Linked DNA regions of Oryzias latipes. The protein of the gene in region 1 purifies or fractionates together with the protein of each later gene. This does not show direct contact. Links are inferred from orthologs where the notes say so. Each region holds a gene or a part of one and is shown in the gene's direction. Other genes may lie near its edges. The genes, in order: ubiquinol-cytochrome-c reductase complex assembly factor 1 and ubiquinol-cytochrome-c reductase complex assembly factor 2.

What was found.
Region 2: the proteins of ubiquinol-cytochrome-c reductase complex assembly factor 1 (region 1) and ubiquinol-cytochrome-c reductase complex assembly factor 2 purify together in Homo sapiens (co-immunoprecipitation; 3 studies listed by BioGRID and IntAct, counting the BioPlex papers as one, with this or other methods). This does not show direct contact. The link is inferred for Oryzias latipes from reciprocal best matches to the Homo sapiens genes UQCC1 and UQCC2.

The regions. Positions count from the first base shown.
Region 1 is NC_019863.2:6,000,191-6,004,008, reverse strand, and holds part of ubiquinol-cytochrome-c reductase complex assembly factor 1, read left to right. Parts: intron 1-516; coding exon 517-594; intron 595-718; coding exon 719-832; intron 833-3,818. UniProt on the Homo sapiens protein: Required for the assembly of the ubiquinol-cytochrome c reductase complex (mitochondrial respiratory chain complex III or cytochrome b-c1 complex). Involved in cytochrome b translation and/or stability.
Region 2 is NC_019863.2:645,549-649,970, forward strand, and holds ubiquinol-cytochrome-c reductase complex assembly factor 2, read left to right. Parts: upstream 1-1,331; 5' UTR 1,332-1,467; coding exon 1,468-1,605; intron 1,606-3,196; coding exon 3,197-3,271; intron 3,272-3,652; coding exon 3,653-3,719; intron 3,720-3,809; coding exon 3,810-3,919; 3' UTR 3,920-3,984; downstream 3,985-4,422.

The DNA.
Region 1 (3,818 bases):
CTGAAGTTAAACTCAACACCGTACAGCGGCGGTCACACCCACACCTGAGGACAACAGCACGGGACAATACTTTTCTGGATTTTTCTTCCAGACCGTGATGCTGTTGACTTTTGCTAGAATGAGTTCCACTTTTGAGTTAAGAACATACATACATACATTTATTATGAGGAACAAACTCGAGCTGCACAATGATATGCGTAGCCGAGCGGCTAACCAGGCTGTCCTGGTTCTTTCCTTATTTTTAAGTCATATTTTTTCTTTTATTTTCTTTCTTTTTCTCTTTGTTGTATTTTTTCAAGTTGTGTTTTTTCCGTAAATTCATCGTTCTGGCTCATGAGGAGCTAAAGAAATATTCCAATGTACTTTTTTTTAAACACGTTTTTAACGTGCACTAATGGCAGTAAACTCTCGTCCTCTGAAAATCTGCTGCTAAGCCAAAGCAGCTGATCCTGACTCCCGTGTTTCTGCCAGAGTTGCAGGTTTAACGCTGTGGTTGTGTCTCTGTTGGTCTTGCAGATAGATGCTGTTCACAGGAAGGAGGCCATGAAAGCCATGACGGAAACCTTCTATGCAGCCATATTTGGATATGATGAGGTGCTTCATGCATGAACAAACACACTCCATACTTCTGTGCTAAAGTTTGATGCTAGCTTGAAGCCATGCGGTGTGCCTGGTTCTGCCCGGTTCTGGTCTGTTCTGACGGTGTTTGTCTGATCAGGGAATCCTGTCTGATGACTGTGTGCTGGCTGCAGCTCTGTGGAGAAACCTGTTCAATCGACAGTGTGAAGACCCCCGACAGCTGGAACTTTTAGTGGAATATGTGCGCAAACAGGTGAGCTGCTCTCATTGGCCGACTGATCCTCAGGTAGAAACCGTTCAGATTCCCACATTCTACATTTTTAAAAATGAGAACATTTATGAAGTTCAGCTTTTCAGTCTTGATTAACTCAGCCACTGTTTCTTGCTGGCTGTAGTTTGTGCTGTGACATAACATCCAGGGGTTGACAGATTATCGTTCAGGGGCGATGATCGGCTGATATTTGTTACGTGGCAATCTGTCTTTTTTAATCCGACAGGGCGAAATTAAACTGGTTATTTTGGCTCAGGTGCAGCCGTGCCCGTCTGTGCCCAGCCCGCGTGATCCGAATGGTTTTGCGAACCACCATTTCAATCCTCTGCATGTCACGCTACAAGCAACCAAGGCTGTGACTTTTAACAAAGAAAATTTAAAAACATTTCCAACATTTATCAAAAATTGGATTTATTCACAAACAGCAGGTCAGAAAGCTTCAATATTTCTAAGAATTTCAAAACCACTAATATGAAAAAAAAACAAGTGTATTTTGGTTTATTCATGTTTTGTTACATTATGAGACAGGGCCTGAGTAACTTAATGTAAGTTCATTCTGTGATGGTGCTTTCATTACATGTAAAATTAAATGTTTTTACTTTTTTGTTAGTTTGCTAACATAGTAATATACATTTTTCACAATAGAACTGCATCATTCTTCATTTTTTCCACCCCCAATAAATAAAGTTTGGATCAGCTGTAGTATTCACTTTAAAACTTGTTCCCATTTCTTACTGAACGGAAAGAAAGTCTGGATTTAATCTGATATTTGCAGCTCAAAGCACTTTACAATGAAGAAAAAAAACATTCCATTCCATCCATCCCTCCCTCCCTCCCTCCCTCCCTCCATGCTTATCCGGGACCAGGTCGCAGGGGCAGCAGTCTAAGCAAAGATGCCCAGTCTTCCCAGTTCCTCCAGCCTAGAGATGTAGTCTCTCCCCCAGGGGCCTCCGCCCAGTTGGACATGCCCGAAACACCTTCCAAGGAAGGTGCCCATTAGGCATCCGGACTACATGCCCAAGCCACCTCAACTGGCTCCTTTCGATGTGAAGGAAAAGCTGTTCTTATCCGAGGTCTACCTTGGGCAGGGAGACTCCATCCACAGAGATGGCAAACCCCCTTTCTCCGGTCGAGAACCATGACCTCAGATTTAGCGGTGCTGACCCTCATCCCTGCCGCTTCACACTCTGCCGCAAACCGCCCCAATGCATGCTAGAGGTCCTGGCTCAATGAAGCCAACAGGACAACATCTTCTGCAAAGAGCAGGGAGGAAATCCTGTGGTCCCCAAACCAGACCCCCTCCTCCCCCTGGCTGCGCCTAGAAATTCTGTCCACAAAAACTATGAACAGAACAGGTGAAAAAGGGCTGCCCTGCCGTAGTCCAACATGCACCGGGAATAGGTCTGACTTATTGCTGGCTAAGCAAACCAAGCTCTTGCTCCGGTCATACAGAGACTGCGGAGCCCTCATTAAGGCTCCCCGGACCTTATACTCCCAAATCACCCTCCACAGGATACCCTTCTTAAAAAGGGGAACCAACACCCCTGTCTGCCAGTCCAGTGTTACAGTTCCCGACTGCCACGCGATGCTGCAGAGACGTATCAGCCAAGACACTCCCACAGCATCCAGAGACTTGAGGTACTCAGGGCGGACTTCGTTCACTCCCGGAGCCTTGCCACTAGGGAGCTTATTGACTACCTCAGTTACTTCAACTTGGGTAATAGACAGCCTCACCCCAAAGTCCTCATTCTCTGCTTCCTCAAAAGAAGTCAGGGATATTGACCGGTGCTCTCCCAACCGGCCCCGGTCGGGCTCAGTCCATACCCGTAGGAGACTTTAAAAGGGACCGGTGCAATGAGGTTTGGGTGGCAGTCGAAGGCGGGTGCCTCGGCGGCCCAAATCCCGGTCATGGAACTTGGCTGTTGGGACATGGAATGTCACCTCTCTGGGAGGCATGGAGCCTGAGCTTGTGCGAGAGGTTGAGAGATGCCGTCTAGATATAGTCTGACTCACCTCCGCACATAGCCTGGGCTCTGAAACTCAGTCCTTAGAGAGGGGTTGGACTCTCTACCACTCTGGAGTTGCTCATGGTGAGAGGTGGCGGGCTGGTGTGGGCTTACTGGTGAGCCCCCATTTCAGCCGCCAAGTGTTGGAGTTCCCCCCCGATGGACGTGAGGGTCATGTCCCTCCGCCTTTGGGTGGGGGACAGGTTTCTGACTGTGGTTTCGGCTAATGGGTACTCCGAACATCATTTTGGAGTACACGACCTTCTTGGTGTCTCTCGAAGGCGTACTGGAAAATGCCCCAACGGGGGACTCTACTGTCCTCCTGGGGGACTTGAATGCCCACGTTGGCAAGGAAAGTGGAACCCGTAGGGATGTGATTGGTAAGAATGGCCTCCCTGATCTGAACCCGAGCAGTGTTTTGTTATTGGATTTCTGTGGCCGTCATAGTCAGACTTTCATCAGGACACCCTAGGCAGAAGGTCAATGATTGACTTTGTAGTTGTTTCAGGTGACCTTTGGCCTTGTGTCTTGGACATGCGGGTAAAGAGAAGGGCAGAGCTGTCCATCGATCCCTACCTGGTGTTAAGTTGGATTCACTGGCGGAGAAGGTGGCCGGAAAGTGTAAAATGTAAAAATGTAATGGCTTTTAGCAGCTGAGTAGCTCAGTTGGTAAGGTGAAGGATTGGCACGCAGGAATCCGGGTATCAATTGTCGGTGGGAAAGAGCAAGCAATGGTAGTGGTGTGGGCTAACATCCCCCAGTGAGGGCCCTTGGGCAAGACCCTTAACGCTACTGTGAATGTGCATGAATGATCCCAGTGATGGTCAGAGGGGCCGTAGGCACGTATTGGCTGTCTGTCGGTCTGCCCCAGGGCAGCTGTGGCTACAGTACTTTACCGTCACCAAGTATGAATGAAGAGTGAATGAATAATGGACACACTGTAAGCGCTTTGAGCGTGTTGA
Region 2 (4,422 bases), about 5.4 Mb from region 1:
AGTAAACATTCATTCAATGCACAAAAAAGGAGGCTTTATGTGGAAAAAAACATTTAATGCACATCAACCAAAGCAGGGAGCGGTGATCCACTTAGCACAAGTTTCAGACAAGAAGTGAACTTTGTAATCGATATCCCACTGCTATAGATTCATTGTGTGGATATTTACAATAAGCCAAAGTATTGAATACATTTAAGCTGTTGATAATTTCATATGAATACAACAATTTCCAGCTGAATTGACGTGACAAACACATGACAACTGTTGATTTGAAGACAGAGGAGAATTCAGTGTCGCTTTTCTTTCATTGAAACTTATTTGAAGATATTCTTCTGTACGTTGCATCTAAGCCATCAGTCCTTATCGTTCAGCCCTATTTGTCAATTTCATGTTTGTTCAGTAAAACATGAAAACATTAGAATTTTACTGTAGAATTAATGCTTTGTGTTTAAATGGAACTGAAGGAACAGGTAAGCATTCTGTTTCATTTATTTATTTAGAAAAACTTTCATTTTCTGTTTAGCTTGTACGTTAGTAGTTAGTTTTGGTGCAACATTCAATGGCTGAATTAATCTTTAGTTTAACTTTTCAGCAGTAGAGAAATTGAAAGCACTGTTTGCATTCTGTCATTTTAACAAAATGCTTGGCGTCTAAAATTAGCTTTAAAAAATGGTAGAATTCAGTGTCATTTTAGGAAAGGAAACTAAAAATGTCCTGACTAAACATTAAACTGACGTGAATGTTAATGCATGGAGGTTATTGACCTCAGACTCAAAGAAAATTAGGTACATTTTTGCTTGATTCACTGTTTTCACCTCACTCTTCTTCTCTCTCAGAAGGATTTGCTGCTCACAAAATCCCATTTGGAGAACATTTATGGACAACTTTCTTTGTTGGAACTTGAATTAAATCTAAGTGCAACTAAATCTACAAATCAAGAAATGCTTTTTAAAACTGTTTATTAAAAGATTCAAACCTAAAAAAATAGTAAATAATAACCACGTTTATTTGTGCAAAAGCTACGTTTGTCACACATATACATAACAAACCAACTGTATACATGTTCACATAGTCCTCTGTTAATAGTTTTTGTCGATCATCATGTATTTTTATGTCTCGTTTGTAGCGTGTCTCTAACACTGAGCACTGCGAGGTTGTGCTCCAGTCCAGCTAGCTAGCGCGGCGCTAATGAGCAATCCTACAGTTTTTATCGAACAACTGCAACATTCTTACCTTTTAAAATCGTTTCTGTCCGTTACAAAACGACACGAGGAGCTGATCCAACCCATCACTCCAGTGGAAGGGCTCTTTTTCGCACCTGCTCCGCTCATCTTGCTAACATGCGGCGTCAGGGATGAGGAAGGGTCAAACGGGGAGGAAGAGTTTAGATGTAACACCAGTACGGAAAGCAACGGAGCCCAAACTTTCAAAGCGGGCGGCGTTTACTGCGCTGTTACGTGATTAAGGATGTCTGCGACTCGGTACCGACGGTTTCTGAAACTGTGCGAGGAATGGCCTCGAGATGAGACAAAGAAAGGTCGCGATTTGGGCACATTCCTGCGGCAGAGGGTCGCCTCCGCGTTTCGCGAGGGTGAAAACACGCAGGTAGAGGCTCTTAGCTTAGCTTCTTAGCAGCTGAGCTAAGATTATATGGCCATCAGCTGACGACCTTGGTGACCCGGCTGTTGATGCACGTGAAATGTCTTTCATAAATGTTCTTCCACTGAAACAAACATGAACCGACACATATTTATATATATTTGGAAGTATCATTTATGCAGAAATGTACCGGAAAGTCCTTTTCTTCGCCTCTCAATGGCTGAGTTTGTCTTTTCAACAAACACTTATTATTAAACGGATTTAAATGTGAAAAGTTAAAGTTTGAAAACTCTTCTTTATTGTTGATTTTATGGTTAATGTAATTTTACTTTTAATCTGTTCAGCAGGCTAACTATAACTGAAACTATTTCAAAATATGGTGAAACTGTTTTATTTATTGACAATGACATCAGGTTTAAAGAACAAGTCTTTCACTTTGAAAAAGAAATCACAAAACTGTTTTACAAATATTTGTAACTGGGCTTATACTATTTTTCATGTAAAGAAAAGTTATATATAGTGTGGGAAGAGTGCCATTATCAGGCTAAAATGTGACCTGCTGTGGTTTACACACATTATTAAAAAGTCTTATGCATGAAATATTGATGATTTATTTCTCTTAAAACGCCCTTTTGTATTTTTAAGGAAAAAATCCAAAAGGAATTTTCTCAGATTTCAACAAAGGAATTCATAATAAAAAATCTCTTGAATTTTTTATCACCAGATAGCCCAGAAAGAAATCGTCTATTTGGATGTTATTTTTATGAATATGTGCAGCAAACAACAGAATCCTAAGTTGGACGCACTTAAAATACATGCATGACATACGTGTGAATAGTATCAGCCTTTCTGAAAAATTGTTTTACAAAAAAAATAAAAAAATAACTTAAAAAGTACACTCCAAAAAGAGTGAAGATGAACTTTTTTACATTGTTGTAACTTAATTATTTAGTTTGGTGAAAATAAATATTTTTTTTTTAGTTCAGTCAACTTAAAAATAACACGTAGTTGTCTGACAGTTATTTTACTTTCAATCAACTTACTTCAATTAAGTTGGTGTAACTTTGGTGTGAAGCTGTCAACGCGTCATGATGACATTGGTTGAAACTTTAGAAAAATGTGTCAATTTAAATTGTATAAACAAAATTGAATTTTTTTTTTAAGTTGGATCAACTTTTCAAATTGAGTTGGATAGCCATAAAAATTTTAGTTGAACAAACTTAATTTAATTAGGTTGGATCAACCTTTTTCTTTTTAGAGTGTAAATCCAAATTGAATTCATCATATAAAGCAAAATCGACAACCCAGAACATGTTGAGATGGATTCTTGGTTTCTTTCTGGCCTTTAAGAATTTTATAGACCAGGCTCCTTCCTTTGTTAGTCCTTGTAATTGAAAGTCTAGTTTCCTTTTAATCCTTTTATCTAACAAAAGTACATTTATATATTATGACCCAAAGTATTCACATAGCAACATGTTTTCACTGGCCGTGCAAATTCCTGCTCTCTGTAAACCCCACAACCATCAGACGTTGGATAATCTAAACAAGTCTTTCCTCTGTTTGGTTTTTCATGACCATGCATTTTCATTCTCTCTAGATTTCAGATCCAGACAAATGTGACCAGATGTATGAAAGTTTGGCTCGTATTAATGGCAACGTATACAAACAAAAAGTGAGTGACATCCTCAAGCTTCCTCATTTATTTTACGTTAAAATTTGTTGCTGTTCCATGAAAACCTGCCTCTGCTGCTGCTGTGACCTCCTTTCTGCTCCCTTCCTCCATGTCGATGGTCATAAACCCATATTTAGACCAAAGGTCTCATCACTTTTAAAGCAGGCCACACAAGGTCAATGTTTGAGTAAACTTCAATTGACCGATATGGAAAACATGAGACCCAGAGCTCCTCGGATGGCTGGAGCACCTTGGTTACCACTGTTTGACCAGAGAAGAAAACTCATACATTCAAATGGCATTTTTCAAATCATCCAAAGAGCTTCTTTGTTTGTCCTGGCTTTGAATAAAAACTAAAACTGTAATCTCCGCTTTGTTCAGTTTCCTCGGGTGAGAGACACGAGCTTCACCGGAGTCACGGTTGAAGAGTGTCGAGTCCTCCTTTCAGGTACGGACTCCCAATTTACCATTCACTGTCCGCTCTTTTCTCACAATGAAGGGGGAATAACACGGAAAATGCTTTGTTTTCCAAATGCAGGAAGTATGCAGCAAAGCATGGATGAAGAAAAGAAGGGCTTGTGGAAGACATTAATGGAGAGGTTCTCCTCCAAAACGGAGGACGTTCCAGAAAAAGCTCCTGAAAAATAACTTTTGACCTCTTAAATGACCTTTTCCCATTAGTGCTTGTGTAGAAATAAAGTTTCTCTTTGTGACCTGGTGTGCTTCCATTAACTCTACAGGTTGTAAATTCACTGGAGGCAGAGGCAGACTCCTGTCACCTCTACCCGGTTAGAACGCCACACTGGCTGGGTATCCAGATCTTCAATTCCAAACTCTGCGCCATGGAAAATTCCCAAAAATCTCAGTGCGCATCGATGCTTACTACATTGGCGAATATAGACCACAATGCATTGCGTTTTCACTTCGGCAAAAGGGTGACACATTTAGGGCTCAAAGAATAAAAAACTAGTGAGCACATGTCTGAACTGTATTACTGGATAGCTGTGCACCAAAGGTCTTTGGGAGTTAAGGAGGACTGAGGGAATTTGGACCCAAATTCAGATCAGTGTTTTATTGTTGTGACCACAATGTCACTGTTGGCTTTTCTTTTTGGCAGTGCAGACTAAATACAGGTGACTGTACTTCACACC